Saccharomyces cerevisiae S288C: one gene and its partner. Changing the gene in region 2 together with the main gene of any one other region gives a genetic interaction. Each region holds a gene or a part of one and is shown on either strand. Other genes may lie near its edges.

Evidence for each region. A genetic interaction does not mean that the proteins touch.
Region 1: mutations in PAC1 (region 2) and GIM4 together harm fitness more than expected from each alone (negative genetic interaction), as found in Saccharomyces cerevisiae (6 studies listed by BioGRID, with this or other methods).

Annotation. Positions count from the first base shown.
Region 1 is NC_001137.3:146,360-149,099, forward strand, and holds GIM4 (tubulin-binding prefolding complex subunit GIM4), read left to right. Parts: upstream 1-1,816; coding exon 1,817-1,835; intron 1,836-1,923; coding exon 1,924-2,240; downstream 2,241-2,740. Other genes in the region: VAB2 (Vab2p), read right to left, coding at 1-396; YEA4 (Yea4p), read left to right, coding at 592-1,620; WBP1 (dolichyl-diphosphooligosaccharide-protein glycotransferase), read right to left, coding at 2,363-2,740. UniProt on the Saccharomyces cerevisiae protein: Binds specifically to cytosolic chaperonin (c-CPN) and transfers target proteins to it. Binds to nascent polypeptide chain and promotes folding in an environment in which there are many competing pathways for nonnative proteins.
Region 2 is NC_001147.6:823,509-828,369, forward strand, and holds PAC1 (Pac1p), read left to right. Parts: upstream 1-2,876; coding exon 2,877-4,361; downstream 4,362-4,861. Other genes in the region: putative serine/threonine protein kinase HRK1, read right to left, coding at 1-1,359; YOR268C (uncharacterized protein), read right to left, coding at 2,026-2,424; VPH1 (H(+)-transporting V0 sector ATPase subunit a), read right to left, coding at 4,544-4,861.

The DNA.
Region 1 (2,740 bases), on a different chromosome or scaffold from region 2:
GAGTTCTTCATTTAACGAGCCAATTTTTTTTTCCGCATTGGCCAATAGACGATCATTTCCATTGATACAATTAGTAGAAGCCCTTTGCTTTAAGACGTTTTTGTAACTATGTTCTACCTTTTTTAACGACTTTTTAAGTTGAAGTTCAATTTGCTGCATCTGATTGCGTTCCTCGTCAATGTCCCTACTTACAACTTCATAGATGGACAGAATGTCTTTTTTTACTTGTAATAACTCATACTTCGTGCTATTGAAGATAGCAGCCTGTGTTAATTTTTTATGGGATGCAAGGGGAGGTAAGCCCTTTAACTCTTCGTAATAGGAACTGCTTCCAACGGCATCAAATTCTATTCTTGATTTCCATTTCAGTATACCTTTAGTTAAGTCTGCTACCATGCTAGGCACTCTCTGCCTTTCTTATGGTTTGGTTACGCATACTCTTCCTTTATATATTCATTGTCATATTTTAAGGAAGCAATCGCTCCCGACGCAAAGTAAAAATATTCAGTGCTTTGCACTCCAGTTAGAAAAAATGAAGAGAATTCAATTGAGAATAAGCAGGGAAGTAATTGGATTGGGAGAATCTAAAAAATGTGGAACTCACTAAAAGCATTCGCTCTAGTGTTCGGAGGTTGTTGCTCCAATGTTATTACATTTGAAACCTTAATGAGCAACGAAACAGGCAGCATTAATAATCTCATTACTTTTTGTCAATTTTTATTTGTTACATGTCAGGGACTCCCCGAATTTCTGGATGTTCATCAACCTTTCCCTTACTTCAAGCCTCTGAAAACTCCACTTCACGTTTATGTCATTACTGTCGTTTTATTTTATATTTCATCTACGACGAATAATAACGTATTTAAATACAACATATCCATTCCGATTCATATCGTTTTCAGATGCTTCGGAACCGTAATAACCATGTTTACATGCTGGTTATTAAATGGTAGGAAATATACAAAGATTCAGATTTTATCAACACTATTTTTAACCATTGGAGCTATAATTGCCTCATTATTCAAAGATGCTGATTTTCGGTACCAAGATTTGAAACTGCAAGCGTGGAAAATTGGAAGTGACCAATCTGTAGATCTCACTTTTATTTTTGGCATTTGTATACTAGTACTTTCATCATTCACATCATCTTTACTTTCAGCATACAATGAACGTACGTATCAAAAATATGGAAAGCATTGGAAGGAGAATATCTTTTACAGTCATTTTTTATCATTACCTCTCTTTCTATTTAGTCGAAAGCAGTTAATTCACGAATATCGAGTGATGAGAAAGTCTGAAAGAATATTGTGTTCAAATTTTGGAGGGAAGATTCTAGTCCCGCGAGAAGAAACTCTCCTTCTTTTCAATGTGTTAACACAATATTTTTGCGTCAAGGGTGTTAATATCCTCGCCAGTAAAACAAACGCTCTGACACTTTCCATAACATTACTTGTAAGAAAATTTATAAGTCTTTTACTGAGCGTCCGACTTTTCGATAATAACTTGTCATATACTGGCTACATCGGGGTCTACCTAGTCTTTTTTGGTGCCTTTATATACTCGCTGGGATCAATTCACCCCAGGCAAAATGACAAGGGGGCGATAAAGAAAAGTAAATGAACACACATTATAAACTAACCTTAAATCCTACTTGTATGTTCCTTAACTCTATATTAGTGGTGTTGACGTAAGTTTAGATAAAATCGCGAACGCTGCCGCCTGGAAGTAAATGAAAAAAAAAAAAAAAAGAATTCATCACCTAAACTCACTAATCTTTAAAACTCATTCATGAGAAGTGGAGAACTATATTACAGCTATGGAACAAAGGAACAACGGTATGCAAAATTTCGATCTCTGGGTTTTAATAAATGCATGTAGCCAATTTTATCTTACTAACAATCTTTGTGTTTTCTCTGTGTATAGTCTTTCAAGCAAAATATAATGAATACAAACAAATTTTGGAAGAATTGCAAACAAAAATCATAGAATTAGGTCATGACAAAGATGAACACACTATAGTCATAAAAACACTGAAAGACGCTGAGCCGACGAGAAAATGTTACAGGATGATAGGTGGCGCACTTGTTGAAAGTGATGTTCAAACGAGTTTGCCTATTCTTGAAACTAAGAAGGAAAACATAGAAGGTACAATAAGTAAAATGAAAGAAACCTTAATACAAACTGCAAAAGAGTTTGAAAAATGGAAAAAAGACAATAAGATTCAAGTCGTTAAAAACTAAACCATATATAAAATCTATTGCAGTACTTAGTTTGGCAAAAAATATAAATAAACACAATCAGGTACTCTTATGTATTTATGTGAGCCATTTATAAAGAATTATAAAGGATATGAAAACATATATTAGTTTGTTTTTTTGAATGTTTCAAGTTTCTTGCCAACAGAGGAAGTCGTAACGAAAGAAACAACAAAAAATATCCACGCAACAATGACGCCACAAATGGCGCTAATATAAACCCAAGAATTGCTGATTTCCCAACTTCTTGGGTATTCATCATTAGCAAGGTGACGGATAGCTTTAACGTCTTTGTCAGTAGTGAACGACAGGCCAATCTTACGATAGTCAGTGAGGAATGTAAACACTCCATGGCGGTCTGGAAGGATGAATTCACCGGTGGTGTAATACTGAGTTTCAGAATCGTTTCCGCTTGGCGACAATGTTAGACGGTAGTACGGATCCACTTGTCTTAGTTCAAATTGGATATCATCAGCGATATGTGG
Region 2 (4,861 bases):
CTCTTCGTGATGCCTGGCAGATTCAACATAGTCGTGTTCTATATCATCCGGCATACAATATAATCTAAAATTATCGTCAGAATCTCTAGGGGCTTTCCATGGAAACCTTTTAAGCACCATACAACAATATATGATCCCAATAGACCATATATCGACGCACTGAGGATCATAAGATTTGGTGGAGGTAATCACTTCCGGCGCTAAGTAAGGGTCACTACCCACGATTCCATGAGCCATCGTTACGCCATCTTCAAAAGGATATCTGAACACAACAGCACTACCAAAATCAATTAATTTCAAAATACCCTGGGAAGTCATGACACAATTATCCAATTTCAAATCTCTATGTGCCAATCCCATAGAATGTAAATATTTAACACCTTCAGTCAATTGCTTCAAGCAACAGTTGATCTCGCCACGAGACATCTTGCCTGTCATAACAACAGCAAAAAAATCAATCGGACAGTACTCCATAACTTCATAGTATTTATTTTGTTTAGAATCAGAGAAAACGTCAACAGTTTCGATAACATTTGGGTGATGTAAAGTCGAACCAATACAAAATTCTGCGGTGCACTTCTTGGCATATTCTTTCACACTCTCATTCGGTTTCCTTGGTCTGAATTCTTTGACGGCAAAAGTAGCACCATCAGTTGGTCTCACAAGAACTTTAACGGACCCACCGGCACCGGAACCCAATAACTTACCCAATTTCCCGTATTTTTGAGCCAGAATACAATCATCGTGATATATATTAATATTATTGGACAAAGATAGGATAGAATCGGTACTTGGCGGTATAGCAGACTGGGTATGAGCATAGTGGTCTGTAAAGCCATGAGGATGCTGGGCACGATAGTGATTATTTAAATTAACTGTAGAAGTTGATTTTGAAGGTGGGGGGGAATGGGTGCTATGTTTCTTGGAACGAAGTTGAGACATAGATAGTTTTTTATTTACAGAAGGTCTGAAAAACCTTTTCAATTCTGCCATGGAGTGGGTTTGTTTTGGAGAGGCGGGAGAAGTATAGTCATGGAGCCCATGAGAAATATTATGGTGGTGGTTTGTTTCATAGTTATTATTGTAGTTGTTTGTTGAGATACTGGTTGCATTAGAATGGCTATGGGTGTTGTTATTAAGGTTTGTTGTAGTATAATTTGTAGTGGTTGTGGTAGATTTCATGGAATCTGTAGATTTCTCGCTTCTTAGTGAGTCATTACTTTGTTTTCTACCAATGAAGTTTAAGAAAGATTTAGAACTTCTGATCAACTGTGGCGGGTTATTAGACGAATTTTCACGGTCATGATGATGGTCATTATGATGACCATGGAATGGGTTTCTCGACAATAGATTAGGCATCTTTATACGAGAAATAGTTCTACCGTATTATTATAATTATTAGTGTTATTATTTTTGTTTTCGATCAATTCTAGCGGAGCTACAATGTGGTAGTCAAACGCTGCTATTGTATTTAATTCCGGCTCGAGACCAGTCTGGAAAGTCGACGTATATCGTTACTACTATCCTTTTTTTATTATTCCTACTATTTCCTTATTGAAAAAGTGGAAAACTGTTAAATCTGGAAATTCTTCACGATTCTAGAAAAATAGGAGGTGAAGAAGATTTCTAAGCTTTTTGAAAAAAACGGGAAAAGGAAGAGGCCCAAAAAAGTGAAAAAAAACTGTGTGTGTGAAATGTAAACGAACTTTGCTCCCTCTAGGAAAAACTTCTTTAAGCGGTTGGGAACTGTCTTGGGCTTACTTGTTTGTAAACAGTTGTATGAATGATTCTATATGCTAATTCTCAGTTTGTCTCTCTTAAAGATTTGTCACTCTGAAATATATAGCCAAATAGAACTAGGCGAAGAAAAAGAAAAGGGGCGGCGACGACGTAGGGGTCAGGTAGAAGAGTTGGGCACTTATTGGCGATATAAAAGACAAAATACACTAATGCAAGAGTATGGTGAGCGAAAGGAAAATAAAGAAAGGCTACGTTATTGACGGATATATGAATCAAGACACAAGACTATTTTGTATAGTAAGCAGAACCGGCTTGTGTTTGTGATTCATGGATCAACGAGACGGTAGCGAATAAGCACCAACGGAAAAAAAGAAAACATACGCATACATGCACGTACAAGATAAAAAAAGCACAGGTGTGGTGGTAGTATTGGGATAACCAGGCACACGCTACTGCGAGATAGCAAAAGACCCTTCCCGTAAACCGCTCGGATAAACCGATTTTGTCCTTTAGCGTGACACGGATTATACGCGGGGATCCGGCGTCACAAGCCACGGCCCGTCCCGTCCGCGTGGTTTTTAATTCTGGCTCCGCGTAGTACATTTTGTAGCTTGCCTTTTTTCCGGCTTCTAGAAAACTGGAAAAACCATAAGAAAAAAATGGGAAGGGGAAAACAAAAACCATTCAGGTCTTGCGTGCCGAGAATTTTTTTTTTCTCTTTTTCGTTGTCAACTTTTGCAGTAGCAGCCGCTGGCGACCCGGACGGTAGCCATGGCAACGGTTAGCTAATGGTAGGTAAATAAAACGAGTAACGACGTTTTAGTATATCTTGGTAAACTACAATTAGATCTTAAAACGGTTCCTGAAAAAGTGCTTTCATCTACCATTGAATTTAATTCACTTCCCTTTATGGAATTTGCACTGGTTTTGTGCTGTGGGATGTGGGTGTTTTGAAATATTTTCAGCTTGCAAGTCGTGCATATTGCACTTGTTTCTTATTTTTGGCGAGTGTAAACGTAATAGGTAATCTTAGTATTGGGCCATCGTCGCCCAGATAGCCATTGATAAAGCAGCTAGGTTCGTCGTCCGGTTGTTGGTATACACCTGTGCGTGCGTAAGTGTAGAAAAAAATAGAAATGACTAACTGGCAGCAACAGCTTCCTTTAACAGATACACAGAAAAATGAACTCGATAAAAGTGTCCTCCGATATTTGAATTGGAATTACAAACAAACTGTACGACATGAGCATGCTCAAGATTACGAAAGTGTTCGACATGCAATTGTAACTCTATCAGGTTTTCTGTTGCAAGAATCAGTGGACCGGCAAGAATTCATCAGTAACAATGACACCAGTAACGAAAGTATGGTAGACATTGATGAATTACTGCTACCGAAGAAGTGGAACTCAATTGTTAGACTACAAAAAAAAATCATTGAATTGGAGCAGAATACAGAGACCCTTGTATCTCAGATTAAAGATTTGAACACTCAAGTGTCAGAACTAGCACAATTCAAACCTACCACCAGTAACGGCACCAGCGCACATAATGTTTTGAAATGGATACCGAGAAATCTACCAAGCTGTTTAATTAATGTTGAATCATCTGTCACTTCCGTCAAACTACATCCCAATTTGCCTATAGTGTTTGTGGCCACAGATCATGGCAAATTATACGCATTTGATTTATTTAACTACACCATCCCTCTGGCATCCTTGCAAAGTCATACCAAGGCAATTACCTCCATGGATGTTTTATTTACCAATTATACGAACTCCAGCAAGAAGAACTATTTGGTGATCGTTACCGCGTCTAAAGATTTGCAGATTCATGTTTTCAAGTGGGTCTCCGAGGAATGCAAGTTCCAACAAATTAGGTCTTTATTGGGCCATGAGCATATTGTCTCTGCGGTAAAAATCTGGCAGAAAAATAATGATGTCCATATAGCGTCCTGTTCCAGAGATCAAACTGTTAAAATTTGGGACTTCCACAATGGTTGGTCGTTGAAAACATTTCAGCCTCATTCCCAATGGGTTCGTTCCATAGACGTTCTAGGCGATTACATCATCTCTGGTTCACATGACACTACATTAAGGTTAACACATTGGCCATCAGGTAATGGTCTTAGTGTTGGCACGGGTCATGAATTTCCCATAGAGAAAGTTAAATTTATTCATTTCATCGAAGACTCTCCGGAGATAAGGTTTAGAACACCATCAACGGATCGATATAAGAATTGGGGGATGCAATATTGTGTCTCAGCGTCAAGAGATAGAACGATAAAAATCTGGGAGATACCTCTACCTACGTTAATGGCCCATAGAGCACCCATACCGAATCCTACAGATTCAAATTTCAGATGTGTTCTTACGTTGAAGGGGCATCTTTCGTGGGTTAGAGATATTAGTATTCGAGGCCAATACTTGTTTTCTTGTGCTGATGATAAATCTGTCAGATGTTGGGATCTGAACACGGGGCAGTGCTTACACGTTTGGGAAAAGTTGCATACAGGATTTGTCAACTGTTTAGACCTGGATGTGGATTTCGATTCTAACGTTACCCCAAGGCAAATGATGGTCACTGGTGGATTGGATTGCAAGTCTAACGTTTTCATGAGATAAGTTTGGCTTTCCTATTTCTTTTTCCCTTTTTTTTGACTCTTTTTAAGCATTGGTTGATACTTTAAATACTTTATTGAATTAGCATTGATAGTATATAATAAGGTTTACTCACTATATAGTAGCATCATTTATTATTTAATGAAGTACTTAAATGTTTCGCTTTTTTTAAAAGTCCTCAAAATTTAGCTTGAAGCGGAAGAGCTTGCACTAGCAACAGCGACTTCCATGTCTTTATACTCAAATGCGAATGGTTCGTATGGTAAACCTTCACCCACGAAAAACTTGGACATAGATTCAACCCAGTGCAAACGTAAGGAATGAAGCATGGCAGATGTACCTTCCATCAAAACAAGAACTGCACATGTTAGTGCGAACCACATGGCAAAAAGTGCAACCGTCATAAACACACCCACAAATCCTCTAAATCCAAAGGCAATTTGAATTGTCATTGTCCATAAAACACTAGACAATTGAGCATGTGCCAATGATAAGGCCCATAA